Linked DNA regions of Mytilus edulis. The protein of the gene in region 1 purifies or fractionates together with the protein of each later gene. This does not show direct contact. Links are inferred from orthologs where the notes say so. Each region holds a gene or a part of one and is shown in the gene's direction. Other genes may lie near its edges.

The links.
Region 2: the proteins of cytoskeleton-associated protein 5-A-like (region 1) and SLAIN motif-containing protein 2-like purify together in Homo sapiens (affinity purification with mass spectrometry; 4 studies listed by BioGRID and IntAct, counting the BioPlex papers as one, with this or other methods). This does not show direct contact. The link is inferred for Mytilus edulis from reciprocal best matches to the Homo sapiens genes CKAP5 and SLAIN2.

What each region holds. Positions count from the first base shown.
Region 1 is NC_092350.1:28,387,537-28,395,211, reverse strand, and holds the start of cytoskeleton-associated protein 5-A-like, read left to right. Parts: upstream 1-4,053; 5' UTR 4,054-4,179; intron 4,180-6,494; 5' UTR 6,495-6,512; coding exon 6,513-6,569; intron 6,570-7,063; coding exon 7,064-7,257; intron 7,258-7,675. Other genes in the region: DNA-directed RNA polymerase I subunit RPA43-like, read right to left, coding at 3,734-3,924. UniProt on the Homo sapiens protein: Binds to the plus end of microtubules and regulates microtubule dynamics and microtubule organization. Acts as a processive microtubule polymerase. Promotes cytoplasmic microtubule nucleation and elongation. Plays a major role in organizing spindle poles.
Region 2 is NC_092351.1:65,362,597-65,370,125, forward strand, and holds the start of SLAIN motif-containing protein 2-like, read left to right. Parts: upstream 1-4,143; 5' UTR 4,144-4,258; coding exon 4,259-4,539; intron 4,540-7,529.

The sequences.
Region 1 (7,675 bases):
ACTGAGGAGGGTTAGGTGAAACCATCATTCTTTTTTGCATTGCCTAACTCGAAAATGTTATAATGTGATCTATAGTTGTTCACCTTATGTCATTTGGACTATTATATTGAATTGTGTCTTTGGCAATCATATCACATCATTTTAATTTAATACATGTATGTACATGTTGTAGTATTACTAACACAACATCTATACCAGGGGCGGATCCAGCCATTTTAAAAAAGGGGGGTCCCCAACCCAGGACAAAGGGGGTTCCAACTATATGTCCCCATTCAAATGCATTGATCAGCCAAAAAAAAGGTGGGTTCTACTCTGTTGCATTTTGTATGTGCCTGTCCTTAGTCATGTTCATGAGTCTGTACTTTTTAATAACTCAGTGGTTGTTATTTGTTGCCGTTTTCAATATTTGGTTAATTTACATGAATGTTGTCGGTTCTTGTTTGATTCTTTTTACATTTGTCATTAGTGCCTTTTAGCTATAAGATATTGGCCATGTTTTTGTCATTGTTAAAGGCCATACAGAACCTTTAGTTGCTTTCTTCCTTATCATTTAATCTCTGGTAAAAACGTGGCAATTGTACCACATGTTCTAATTGACTGAAAAAACTAAAATTGTTGCCACTTAAATTCATTACCGGTATTAGCGAAAGAAATAGGACAATATAACTTCATCCATCTTGTTTACTTTTTACAGGATTCTCGGATGTCACTTTACCTAATCAAACAATATTCAAAATTCACCTTGAATTTGTCATGAGTTTAAAAAAAAATCAATTATCAGCTGTTATTGTTTAATTTTATTTTTTCTGTGCACTTATGCAATGTAATCTAATAATTGGGGACAAAAGTGTATTAATTCAAATGGACATCTAAGTCCCATATTACAGTAGAAAAATCAATAATTTTTTTTTTTAAATCAGAACTCAAAAGCGTTAACTTTTTTTAATTCACACATCTGCGCAGAAATTAAAATTCTTCTTCCTTTTTTCGGTCTCGTTTTCGTGGGACTTTGAGTAAAATATATTTTTCAGTCAAGTAAAATATAGGAAGGAACTCAATACCAATTTCATTTTTAATAGTTCTTTGATATGAAAAAACGTTACCTGATGATTTCATATCTTTGTTTACATTGAGTATGAGGTCAAATAATGTTACAACTAAAATCCAAATCAACAGAACAAAAATCAGAAAAGTCAAGGTATTTCCGTTTCTTTTTTTTAAACAGATTTTAAAGTTAAACATGTTAAAATTATGTTTGAATTGAAAAAAAATCATAGACTTCATCCCCTTTCACAGGTAATGCCTGCCTCAAATTAGTTAAAGTTGTGACTGAGTTCGGAAATACGAAGAAAGATTTACCATGTTTCTGGGACTATCATACTAACAGGACTGGAAACCATTACACCAATCAGAATATCTAAATCACAGTCGTTAGAACGAGACTTTACCTGCGCTATTTATGGATACGCCATATTGATTTGATAGTGAAAGCGTGCCTTGATCTTATAATTTCTGAAATTATTTTTTTTATTTTATAGTTATTAGAAATGATAATCCTTAATATAATAAAATTGAGAATGGAAATGGGGAATGTGCCAAAGAGACAACAACCCGACCATAGAAAAAAACAACAGCTGAAGGTCACCAACAGGTCTTCAATGTAGCGAGAAATTCCCGCACCTGGAGGCGTCCTTCAACTGGCCCCTAAACAAATATATACTAGTTCAGTGATAATGAATGCCATACTAATTTCCAACTTGTACACAAGAAACTAAAATTAAAATAATACAAGACTAACAAAGGACAGAGGCTCCTGACTTGGGACAGGCGCAAAAATGCGGCAGGGTTAAACATGTTTGTGAGATCTCAACCCTCCCTCTATACCTCTAGCCAATGTAGAAAAGTAAACGCATAACAATACGCACATTAAAATTCAGTTCAAGAGAAGTCCGAGTCTGATGTCAGAAGATGTAACCAAAGAAAATAAACAAAATGACAATAATACATAAATAACAACAGACTACTAGCAGTTAACTGACATGCCAGCTCCAGACTTCAATTAAACTGACTGAAAGATTATGATTTCATCATATGAACATCAGGCACAATCCTTCCCGTTAGGGGTTTAGTATCATACGATCATAACATATATGAGAAGAACATAACCCGTGTCATGCCAACAACTTGATTACTATAATGATAAAAGTTACCTCGATCTTTAACAGTTGTTATTAATCACTAAATCCGCCTTAAGTGTAAGAAATAACAAAAAGATTGAAATTTTCAGGATGAAAATGACGTGGGAACGATGTGGAAAAAAGGAGATGATTAATTAAATTTCTTATAACTTTTGATTGAAAAGAGATACCCAAGTTGGGTTTGTTGTGAAATCATATTCATAGGTTATAGTTTGGATTTGCCTATTTTTATTGTCGTTTTAAAGTGACAAGTGGAAAAATATCTCTTTCTCATTACAACCGGAACCCACATGCACGGCTTAAATAAATTTTACTGTTCCTACAAAATTGCCTACTCCTTTTTAAGTGTGCAATATTTTATTATAATCAGGGTTAATTTTGCTTAGTAATGGTCTTCAGGTGGCATTAAGCATATGACTTCGTGAAAATAGACTAGGTTCCACAATTACAACTACAAAAGTAGGCCCGATGATGCACAGCCATATTGAAATTTTGGTGTAAACACGAAGTTCACAAAAGTTTAAAACAATGTGGCTATATTTTCATGAGACCAGGGTAACTTTTGTTATATGAATTAATTAGGAATTGAAATTGTCAACATTGTTTTTATTGCACACATATTGTTTTCATCAGGATTATTTATGATCTGACAACCTTTGACACGTTGTTATCTTAGCGGTCAAGTAAAGTGCTGCATTTCGACTATATCTGGTTTATCATGTTTATTTTCAACATTACTATATTGACTACTTCTTAATATTTTTTCGTAAACAATATCTGGTTTTTGCATTAAACTAATTAGCTTATTACAGGGTATGAAATTAGCAGAGGCCCACAGGCCAATGGCCCCTCTAATTTAGTGTGGGCTGCTTAAATTTCTGCTTTTCTTGTAAATTAGACTATATTTGGGCTACAAACTTTAAGCTGTGGGCTACAATTGCCAAAGTCTTAAGTTCTATCCCTGTTTAATAATTATTCTTTATTTCAAGTCCACCAATTTTAACTGTTTTTCTATATATATGCTGACTTGTTTGCCGAAATCTATTGTTTACATGTACCGAATGCTAATTTACTACATGACACAATACGCTGTCAACCAAAACAAAAATCAATAATCCGCTATTGGGGCAATGAAATCTCAACAGATTGTTCAGTTTGCAGACCCTTAAGTACGGTATAATAAATTTATAATACACCTTATCGCTATTTGTCCGCCATTACTGCATATCACACAGGTTCATGTAAAATTTTGACGTCATAAAACAATATATCTGACGCAACAATGGAAAAGTGATTGATGTATGCTCAAAAGTTCAAGCGGCCGGGTCAGCTGGGATTAGCAATAAGATGTATAGTCCCAGCCATGTTTACATTCGTAATTTGGACTCTGTAAATTCTTTCCCATTTTTACAGTCTCAATTTTTAAGGTAAAAACAAGTTGTAACTGTAGAAAATTTCATTGCAAAAAATAAAAGTGGTCCACAGAAAATTTTCAAAAAAAGGGGGGAGGTATTCAAACCACTTCGAGTTCTTACCAGCTTGCAACTAACTGCAGTTCTGAGTTGAGATGTTCTCTCACTCCTTGTAAAATACTGTTGAAAAACTTCGGGGGTAAAACAATATGTCGCTTAGATGAAACTGCTTCAAGATGGGAAAAAGAACACTTTGAAATTAGTGATTTTGCCTCGGAAAATGTCAATCGTGTATGTTCCATGGAAGCTGCCATTTTTTTTTCTAGAGTTCGCGAAAGTGTGTGACAAAATTTGGCTTTGTGAAAAATTGGTCAATGTTGAATATTTTTTTTGAGTTAAAAAAAACCCTAAGAATATTGATGTATAAATACTATTCTGAACTAATTAAAGTAAAATTATAAGTTAATCCAAGTTTATAGATGGCGCCACGAAACTTCCGGTTGACCGAAATATTTACCATTCAAATCCAGCGCTCATATGAGATAACTAAATATTTATATTGCATATATGTAAGTATGCTTTTGATTTGATCCCTACCAAATCACCACTTGAAACTGTTAGGATAAATTGCTTTGATATCCCCTTTTGTTTTTGCAGGTCCCCTTTTTTCTTACTTGTAAAGTTGCCAACTGTCATAATCTGATGTCAGTGATTCATAATATATGTTTACTGTCAGATCATGAAATGAAATAAACTCACAACATTTGCAAATAGCAATATATGTTGTATTTTCTCCTGGAGAGGTGTTGACCTGATTTGTTATCCGCCTTATCATACAGTCTATAGCCTATAGTCTATACACCTTATTGCTATACACCTTATCGCTATTTGTCCGCCATTGCTGGAAATCACACAGGTTCCCGTAAAATTTTGACGTCATAAAACAAAATGTCTGACGCCACAATGGAAAAGTGATTGTTGTTGACGTCAAAAGTTCAAGCGGACGGGTCAGCCGGGAATAGCGATAAGGTGTATTTGTCCACCATTACTGGACATCACAAAAGTTCTTGTAAATTTTTTACGTTATAATAGAAAATATCTGATGCCACAATGGAAATAGTTTGAGAGAGACAGATTCTCTGTTCAGTCGAGAATAGCAATAAGGTCTATTCCCAGCTGAACCGAAAATTTGTATTGCTTGAACAATTGACGTCATACAACAATTACTTTTCCATTGTGGCGTCAGATATTTTTATTATGATATAAAAAATTTACAGGAACCTGTGTGATGTCCAGTAATGGCTGACAAATAATTATGACATCTTGAAAGGCTATTATACTTTTTCGCTTTCACGCCTTGCACGTTGTGCATTCTCATTGCTTTGCTGGGTTAGACATGGGGGATTCAAATGAATCTGAAGGAGAGAAGTTTTTTTTAGTTTTAACATTTTGAGCCTTAGGCGCTGTTCCCTTGTTTCGCCTCAAGCTAAGCAATTAAAATTCCTGAGGTTTAAATGATAGAGATAAAAGCAATTATAGTTAACTTATAACCCTACAGTCTACAGTAATGAAAAAAAAAAAAACTCATACTTTATATTCATGAAAGGCCTAGACATAACGATACATAGAGAATAATACATGGCAAAATCTGTATCATATGTCGTATCATCCCGAGACATCAATATCAGCCCAAGGGCCTTTAGGCCCGAGGGATGATATTGGTCGAGGGTGATACGGCATGTGATACGGATTTTGCCATGTATTATACGCTTTATCATATGTTTCAACAGAATAGTATTATATTATATGAACTGTTTTCTGATCCATAGCACTGGGTTACCTTCAGTTCTACTTTTGTCTTGTTTCAAAGGCTTTCAAAAGTACTGCTCAATTACTTATCCGAAGCACCTGGGCTACCTTACAATTTGCGTGCTGTTGTTTAAAAAAAAAATGTTTATTATTGTATTTATTTGTGTGTTTTGTATTTTTTATAGTTGCAATTAGTGTGCCAAAAAATATGAAAACTTGACGTTCGTGACGTCAAATACAATATGAAAACTTGACGTTCTTGACGTCAAATACAATATGAAAACTTGACGTTCGTGACGTCACATACCAAACAATGACGTCATTCAAAAAATTGACCTATTTTGAGGAAAATTTTTCTTAAGCAAAAAAAAACAAACAAAACTGACTTTACATGCTTCATATAAAAAAAAAAAAAAAAAAAAAAAGTAGGGGTGTGATAAAGGGTAGAGGTGTGATAAAGGGTATGCGATAAAGGGTATGCGATAAAGGGTGCGCATCAGAGTTGCGCGATATGGATTAAACAGCAGGCTATTTATCAAATATGCAAAACTACTGTATTTACTACTTAACATATGATAAAAACAATAAAACTTTAAATTATAATAATATTAATGTGTACATGGTATACTGTACAATTTATGAAAAACAAATAATTTGAAATATGAACCAACAACAACCACTGAATTTAGGACTCAAACCTTGAGACAGTATAAACATAAATAATGTGGTGAGGTTAAACATGTTTGTGAGCACACAACCCTGCCCATGCCTGGTGTTGCATCACAACATCAGAACAAACTGTAAAAAATATTTTACTTAATAAATCAATATGAAGCACAAATAAACTGTAAAAGCACCTAGCATTGAAATACATGTACCCTCCCTGATTTCATGTTCTGGAATATGTCAGTCTTATTGACATATTGATTATTAATCACAGAGTTGTGTCATTGAAATCTTAATATTTACAAATTACGATAGAATCATATTAATTACATGTAAATATCAGTATATTCCTTCAAAGCAATATTTTTTTTCTAACATGTGTAAACATTCATGACATTGTATTTTCCAGGAGTATTATTAATCCATAATGGGAGATGACAGTGAATGGCTGAAACTTCCTGCTGAAGAAAAGTGCCAGCATAAGGTAAAATTAAACTTTACAAAGATATAGGTCATGTAGGTTATGCATGTTATATATACATATAAAATTTATGTTATCCCAAACTAAAACAAAAATTAGTGCACATTCAACAGAGTTAGAGTAACAACATCAAAAGCAATCTTAGAAAAGCATAACTTGGTCATGTTAGCAGGTTAGTGCAATGCCAGTCTGCACCAAATTCTTTTCCAACTACAAGTCAGATGACCAATATTCAGACAACTTTCTTATGTTTATAAACAAATATTTACAAATACTTACTATTAAAAATGATATTCAATTAGTCTTGGGACATCCATCTAGTGGTTAACACTAAATGGTGTAGACTGCAATGCCAAAACTATTAGTATCATTTTACCTTATGAAGGATTCAAACTGGCTTGGACCTGAGTTACCTACCAATTGGGATTGAAAGGGAAGTGTAAATGGAAGCTTTAGTGTTACAGGAGGAAATTAACTTATTTGTTTTTGTATTATAGACATGGAAAGCACGTCTAGCAGGATATGAAGAAGTTACAAAGATATTTAGCCAACAGACTGATCCCAAGTCTCCTGAATTCCAGCGCTATGCTGGCCTTATGAAGAAGTTTGTCACTGATACCAATGCTGTGGCTCAAGAAAAAGCATTGGATGCTGTTCTAGCATTTGTAGAGAATGCTGCTGTAGCATCCAGGTTTGATCATTTTTGTATAACTACAAGATAATATTTAGTTTTATATCACCATTCTATGGTATCATGACATCTATGGATTTATTGTGATGTTTGATAGCTGTCTTGTTGACAAAGGCCCTAAATCTGAAATATCATAAATACTAGATTTCAGTTCAGAAATTATTTTGTTTCATCATATGATTGGTAAAATTAGTATCTTACAAAATTTCTTTGCAAACATATTAGCATGATTTCAGGACTTAGACTTTTACTTCGAGCATTTTAATCTATAGATATAAGAATTTGTCGTATGAGTGCCAGTGAGACAACTCTTAATATCCAATTCACAATTTGTAAAAGTAAACCATTATAGGTCAAGATACAGTCTTCGACAAGGAGCCTTGGCTCACACCTAAAGTAATGGTCTTATCTATTTAAA
Region 2 (7,529 bases), on another chromosome or scaffold:
CTACAGATACAGTTAAGTCTGCCTAATATCTTGACTTGCATTTAGAAATTGACAATGACGATCGGTTGAAAACAAAACTTTACGACAAAAGAGATGATTTCAGCTTCCCAATTGTGAACTTTCCATTTCTATGTAGCAACATTCCAGCAGCGCCTGCATACGGAGTATAAATCTCCCAATTGATACGATATTGCTGGCTTGTATTTCCTTTCATGATATCCTTGATTGAGGCTTGCTGCTCACAAGGAAGCTATTAAACCAAGAGTTCCAAATGGTGAAGTTGAAATCATCCCTTCTTAAATTATACGGACGCCATCAAGAATTGGTTGACCGTTATGGAATAACCGTTTCACAGCTGATATCGGATATGTTCCTTATGTCGCAATTACAATACCCTCCACTTTTTATGGTTGTGACCTACCGAATTAGACTTTTTATCGGATTTGTAATAACATTAGCAACACGACGGGTGCAGGATCTGCTTGCCCTTCCTGCGTACCTGAGATCATCCATAGTTTTTGGTGGTTTTCGTGTTGCTTAGTCTTTGGTTTTCTATGTTTTGTCTTCTGTGCTATTGTTTATCTGGGTTTTTCTATTTTTAGCCATGGTGTTGTCAGTTTGTTTTCGATCTGTGTGTTTGACTGTCCCTCTTATGTCTTTCTTCTCTCTTTTAGATTGTTTTCTGCTGTTGAATACTTGTCTCATTGGCATTCATACTAGTCTTAATCTTCGTATTTTATAAAGTGAATGGCATTATGCTTTCGAAAATGTACCCAGTATGCGTTTGATTTTAAAACAGCTTTTTTAATTGATGTTTAGGAAGTGACTCAACCTCCACAACTAATTATCGAATATTTTATCTAATACATGTATTTCAGATGTTTTTTTTTTATCACAGTGCTATCTACCGGGCATGACATCTATAATAAATATGGTCGGCATATCATATTCAGAAACGTCAAAACTGTCGGACGGTGTTTCGAGGTACGCAGAATTTTAAATCACTGAAATTGTGCATGTTTTATTGTGTTTCTTAAGATGTTTGTCATATCATTCTCCTCCATTATCTCCAGTTCGCCACATTGTGCCGTGTTTGAAATTTCTAAAAGAAAAAAATGCTGTTACTGGATTCTAGTATACACATTCTTCTACTGTTGCTGTTAATCAACATGTCAATGACATATAATATTTCTTCTAAGCAGAACCATACATGGACATTTTACAAGTATTACTCAAAACGTGTGGCTTGCCTGTCCTTTTTGCACATCATTGATCCGCACTTGCATTGACTAGACATGTACTGTAATAGGTCATTATTTTCGGGTTTTCGACCATGCAGTCATCGTATATTAAAAGAAATGTTCAAGAATTGGTATCGACTACAATGTCTCGTTAAAAACAAGGAAATAGGTCTTTAAAAAAAATGGGAGATCGTTATCAAAGGGCAATTTACTCTAATAAGTATAGTCAACTGATCATTTCGACCAGGCAAACTTATTTGTAGAACCTGTCTTGCTGGTCAATGTTACAGTTTAAAGTTTTTCTCTAACTATTATAGCTTTTAAAATTGTAGGCTAAAATGAAAACAGAATAATTAAATTTGTCAATTTAGGGTTATAACTTCTATATTTCGAAGTATTAGGATCAGTATTTTTCACATGCGTCAGTTTGTCGGATGCGTGGAAATAACTGTTAGTGTATGTAACAAACATTCGTACTAGCAGAAACATATCTTTTACTAAAGAAAGGCCAAAGTCGAAAGGTTCGGTATTATAGAAAACTTATCATTTATCAAAAACTTCGACGCCTTTAAAATCAGCACATGGTTTACAAAACTTTGATGGAAGTCAAATTTCGTGTTGATTTATTACATTTTAGAATAAATATTTGAAATCTCTCTCAAAAATATATCATTCAACAGAACGTGTCAAATGCTTAAGACACCGGCAAAAATGCTTAAATTTTAGTCTATGGAAAATTAAATATATATACGTTACTTTGACGTTCCATGCAAAAAACGTTCAATTTGGACGTGGTAACATTTTGGGGAGACATGGACAACTTGATGGAAATTGATGAAAAATTTAGCGTTTGCTTAACATTGAAGGCTTAGACCAATCATTAAAAAAATTACATTTCAGTAGTAACATTTGTTTTCATAGTTTAATTGTCTGTCACAAATTTAAAATACCCTAAACTAGCATGGTACTGAAAAATCTTAAACAATGGCTCTATGGTAACATTTAAGGGAGACACGGAAAAAATTGAAAAAAAAATAAAATGAGAGAAGCTAGTATGTTAGAAATAAATAAGTGTTCGTAAAATTCAATAAAATTACATTTGCGTGTAGAGGTGTCGAATCTTTTCTATGACTTATGTGAAAATATTGTAATATCGAAGTGCTTGCTTTCATTTTTGTATACTCGAATTTTCAAATCTTACAGCTTTATGGAATTTCGAAAATGGCCACTATAGAATGCGAACTGACATGATATTTATCGTAACCGTTCCACACCATGCATATGATCATATTATATCCCACCTGTTTGAATTTCATCGTAATCCATTCAATAGTTTTTGATTATTTTTTTTCGTTTATATTTGTATGGTAAGTTATTGTTGTTACGTCTTACACGGCAAAAATGGCATTATGAACACGGGACTTATTGCTAAATTATGTAATAATACATAAAATTAAATATTTTAAAATTAGGTTTTATTTAATATCGATTAAACTGATGAACCAAGACAAGTAATTATTTGATAATACGCATAATTGATTTGTTCCTGTCCTACTTATGCATCAAGAAATGGTCAAATGAAACATATAGACCGAATACCGTGCATAACGTCAATACGATACCTGATCTTTCACGATCAAGTTTGATGGAAATTAAACAAATTCAAGGTTTTCATAAAAATAAATTAACGCTTTTAATGGAAGAACATACTTTAATTTTACTGTACTATCAGATAAACCAAAGATTGAATTTCAAATATATCATGATATTCTGAAATATGACCATTATAGGTACAAAAAGCGTGTTATTGTAATTAATTTCATAGACACACATTGCGCCTTTTGTGTTTTTTCAAAAAGTACTTCATATTTTCTTTATCTGTTTTCACAGTTATTTTGAGGAAGTTAAACCATTTTGACAGACATATTTTTTTGTTCGGATTTGTTCCGCGTTTTGAAAATTAAGCGATTTTTTTCAAAGATTCTGAATTAGAATGTACATTAAATGTCTTTCACGATCCGTTACCAGAACTTTCACGATCGTCTCTCAATACTAGACTGCCAATTCATTCACCTTTTGTTTAAAAATAATCAGTGACATATTATAGTAGATACACGTCTCTGGTTTAGTTTACCGTGGCTTATATCATATCTATATGCTTATATAAACTTGAACGTAACCTTGATAAAATTGAAAATTTATGTTTTTACCTAAGAATAAAATTCTGATACCTAAATGGTTGTTGGAGTTCGTAGACTCAGTCTACGGGAAATGCCAATCGAGAAATCCGTTTCTTATGTGGAGTAGCGATATTTTCTTGTGTACATAAGAAATCTGAGAAGACTGTTGACATTCGGAAGGAATTTTTAACATATAGACGTATTCAGAAGGATAAAGTACATACATGAGGTTTGAACATTTTATCCCAAGTGTGTTGTACATAAGCAAAATTAATATGCATTTGCTTTTCATCATGGAGTGTCTGCATATATATTTTTAAAATTTCGTATCAGAAAATATCTCGACTCTATATAAGAAACGGGTTTCTCGATTCGCACTTTCTATAGAATGATACTTCATACAAAAAAGTAATAAAAGATGAATACACGGCTATAATTAGCAATTCATAGCCTTCAGATTGTGTTTCAGATCGATTTATGACATTTATAGAACTCATACAGACTCATTATACAACTTGCTAAATTTTCAGTCTATAGGTCGGTTTATTCATTATTCTTTGGGACGATATTTCGCAAAAATAATTCCTAACCGGATCATTTTTAATCGATAATTAATACTAATCAAGAGATCAAAGGATTGCGCACCTGCCAATGATTCATAATGAATCTAGTGATCGCACAGCAATCTATGAGTGAAAATGTAAACGGAAGTTACCATTTGCGCATGCGTGTTTAAACTAAACACAAAATGGCTTCCAAGATATGAAGTGTGTCCCAACTGTGTTCAATTTTGTATTTTACAAAGTCATTTGACTATAAAACTAATGTCCAATAACCATGGATAGCGGAGATTCATCGATAGACCCAGAAGCGGAAGTTCGCAAACTCCAAGATCTAGTCAAAAAGCTTGAAAAGCAAAATGAAGTGCTTCGTTCTAGACAAAAAAACAATTCAGAAAACGTACAGAACGGTGAAATTGAACATGGGAAATTGACTTTACATCATAATAACAATATTCCCGACACCTTAAATCTAAAGAATCAACCTGCTGAATCAGGCGATGATTCTGAATTGGTTGATATCGAAAATCTTTCAATGAAAGATGAAGAAGACAGTTGGTAAGGCAAATGTATAAGAAATTATTCATCATCCTGCAGTCCTGTCATATGTTTTCATTGTGACATGTTTTTTTTTCTTTCTATATTTGAAACAACAGCACTACAACTGTACAAAAGTAGCATTACAAGTTCTGGAAATCTCTAAATTTGGTAAGGTTAATGAATTCGGTAACGGTTACCGAATTCATTTACTGAACCATTAACGAATTAGGCATTTATAAATACGGTAAAAATGGCATGCTGGGAACAACTTCATACAGAACTATAGACAAATTTAAAGAATTATGCCTGGTAAAATTAAAATCTATCTACAGGTTGATGAAAATCGATGTCAAACATTCAAAATCCTTCTCATTTTTGTCTCGCATAAAGGAGTCAAAAATCGAGACATAGGTATGCTGTTTTCGGTGGTGGCGGCGTCAACAATGTATTAGTTAGTGATTAGGTCTAGTTTATGGTGAACCACTAGTGGTACATGTACAATGTAGGTCAAAGATATTTGGTATGCAGTTGTATAAGCAGTGCTCTAGCTAGAATTCAAAAGGGGCAGGGTGCCAGGGGAGGGCAGGGCACTTTTTTATGATAGGAGAAGGCACTGCTCATTTTTTTTTCTACGTCCCTGCGTGTATCACGAGTTCACATATTTTTTTACTGTATATATTGTTAATAAAGATGCATTTATAAAGTTGTTGTTTTGATTATTTATTCTATAAAATTTGCATAAGAAAAGTCATTCATACTATATCATGTTCATAATACATGGCAATACACATTCATACTATTAACCAAAAGAGGCAAAATAAACTTACTATTCTCCCCACCCCCTCTGCTTCCAAAAGAAAGAACATAAACTAAACATCTCATAGTTTACCATACATGTACATGACAGAGAAGTTGTATTTCAAAATGTCATCTAGAGCTTGGCCCTCAAAACCTGTTTTTATTGTTCGTGTATAAGAATATCTTATTTAGTATAGCTTCATCAAGTTGATTTGTGATGAGAGTATTACTGCACACTTGCATTTTAGTAACATGACAGGTTGGACATCATTCAAACAAAATAATAGTTCATATTTCTATATTGAGAATAAATAAAACATGGATTGCCAAAAGTATGATTATCAAAAATAAATTGCAATATATTTTTTTTTGTATGTTCAAAGACAGTTAATATCCTTAAGGTAACATTCTTATATAATTTTGTATTCAATTGGTTATTTTTTCCTATTTTTAATACTAGATAATATTTTAGGGGCACAATTTTGTAATAAGCATTTTCAGGGGAAATAACTCCAAAATTAATTTCCATGTTTACGTCTGCTTGTCGCTCACAAGTTGAGATGTACGATGTTTCTGTGTCAGAAGGCATAGTTTTATTTTGATTACTTCAATTCAATTCTAAATTCATGAAAGTCTTCATTCGCACACACTTTCATTGTGACTTGAAGATCGAAAGAAAATGCCGACACATTCATCATATTTATGACAAAAAGGTACATTGTCGTAATTAAATTACCTAGTAATTAACACCTTTAATTGAAGTCTTATCCACAATAATTAATTGTAATAACATGATAAACCTCATTACCTGGGGGCAATCTCCAGGTGTCATATTTGTAATTCAACTTCTGATAAGAAATCGATGAAACAAAGGCAATTTTACCAAAACGGCACAAGGGTTTTTTTTTTAAAACGGCGTCAGGGCAGAAGGGCGCGACTGAGGGCACACAGGGCGCGGCTGAGGGCACCCAGGGCGCGGCGCCCTTCTATTTTGGGCTAACGAGACCACTGATAAGTATTGGCACATCTCATCACCATGGAAATTATGTGGCCCCGCCCCCTCAGTTATGGTCTATTGACTTTGAAATTTTATTTGTTTTTCATGTATTAGTTTGTGATTAGGGCACTTTAGGAACCACTAGTGGTAGGTAAATGATAATTGGTATGCAGTTGCATAAGCATTGGCATATCTCATTTCCATGGAGAATCGGATTGTTTGGCCCTGCACCCTCTGTCATGGTCCAATGACTTTAAAAATTTTGGTTAGTTTTCATGTTTTAGTTTGTGATTAGGTCAGTTTATGGAGAACCACTAGTGGTAGGTCAATGATATTTCAGTGTTCTCCCCAGGCCGTTTTAGCTCTGCCATTATCAGCGCTATCACAATTTCCCACTATTCTATTGCACTGACCGCAGTGCTATCTAACTCAAGCGCGTTGCTATATTTTTTTCGTAATTATCATAATTTTTCAAATTTCCCGCTTATTTTTCACTTCAGATCACATGATCAACTCGTTTTCTATTTCTAAATGAATTATTTCCATTGTATTAAGTAACACCGTGGAACCAGTCTAATAAATTTTACAAAATGGTGACTTTGAAAGATGAAAATAAACAAAGATTTCAACATTGACATCTATTGTTTTAATTTAAAGAATAAATCATTGTAAATAGAGGCATATACAAATGTATGAATGAAATGCGATAAAATAAATTGACTGCATTTTCCGACGACACTCAAAATTTTGTTTAGCGAACTTTGAGAACAAACAATGATTTTAAAAGCGATTTAAACACAGGGTTTTATTACCATTTCAAGCATTTGCCGGGCTTACCATAGCTATCCATACGAACACCGAAGAAGCTTTGAAGTATTAATTATAACCTTTTCGAACTAATAATAGGTAAGGCAGCAATTCTACAGTAATGAATTTTACCATTTGAAAACAATTGAGAGGATATGATTAGAAAAACAAACCCCAAGCTGATACAACTTGAGAAATTCACTTTCTCGATGTCCAGTTTGGATGAAGCCATTTGAATATTATATACAGTGTTCCAGCTAGGTTTTCAAAAGGGCAGGGTGCCAATCCTGAAAAAGGGCATTTAACGCGCGATATGATAATATGAAAAGGGCATATTTTAATAAAAGATGTTAATCAAACATTTGTGTTTATTCGTTGAATCACAGGTTATACAAGAACAACATCT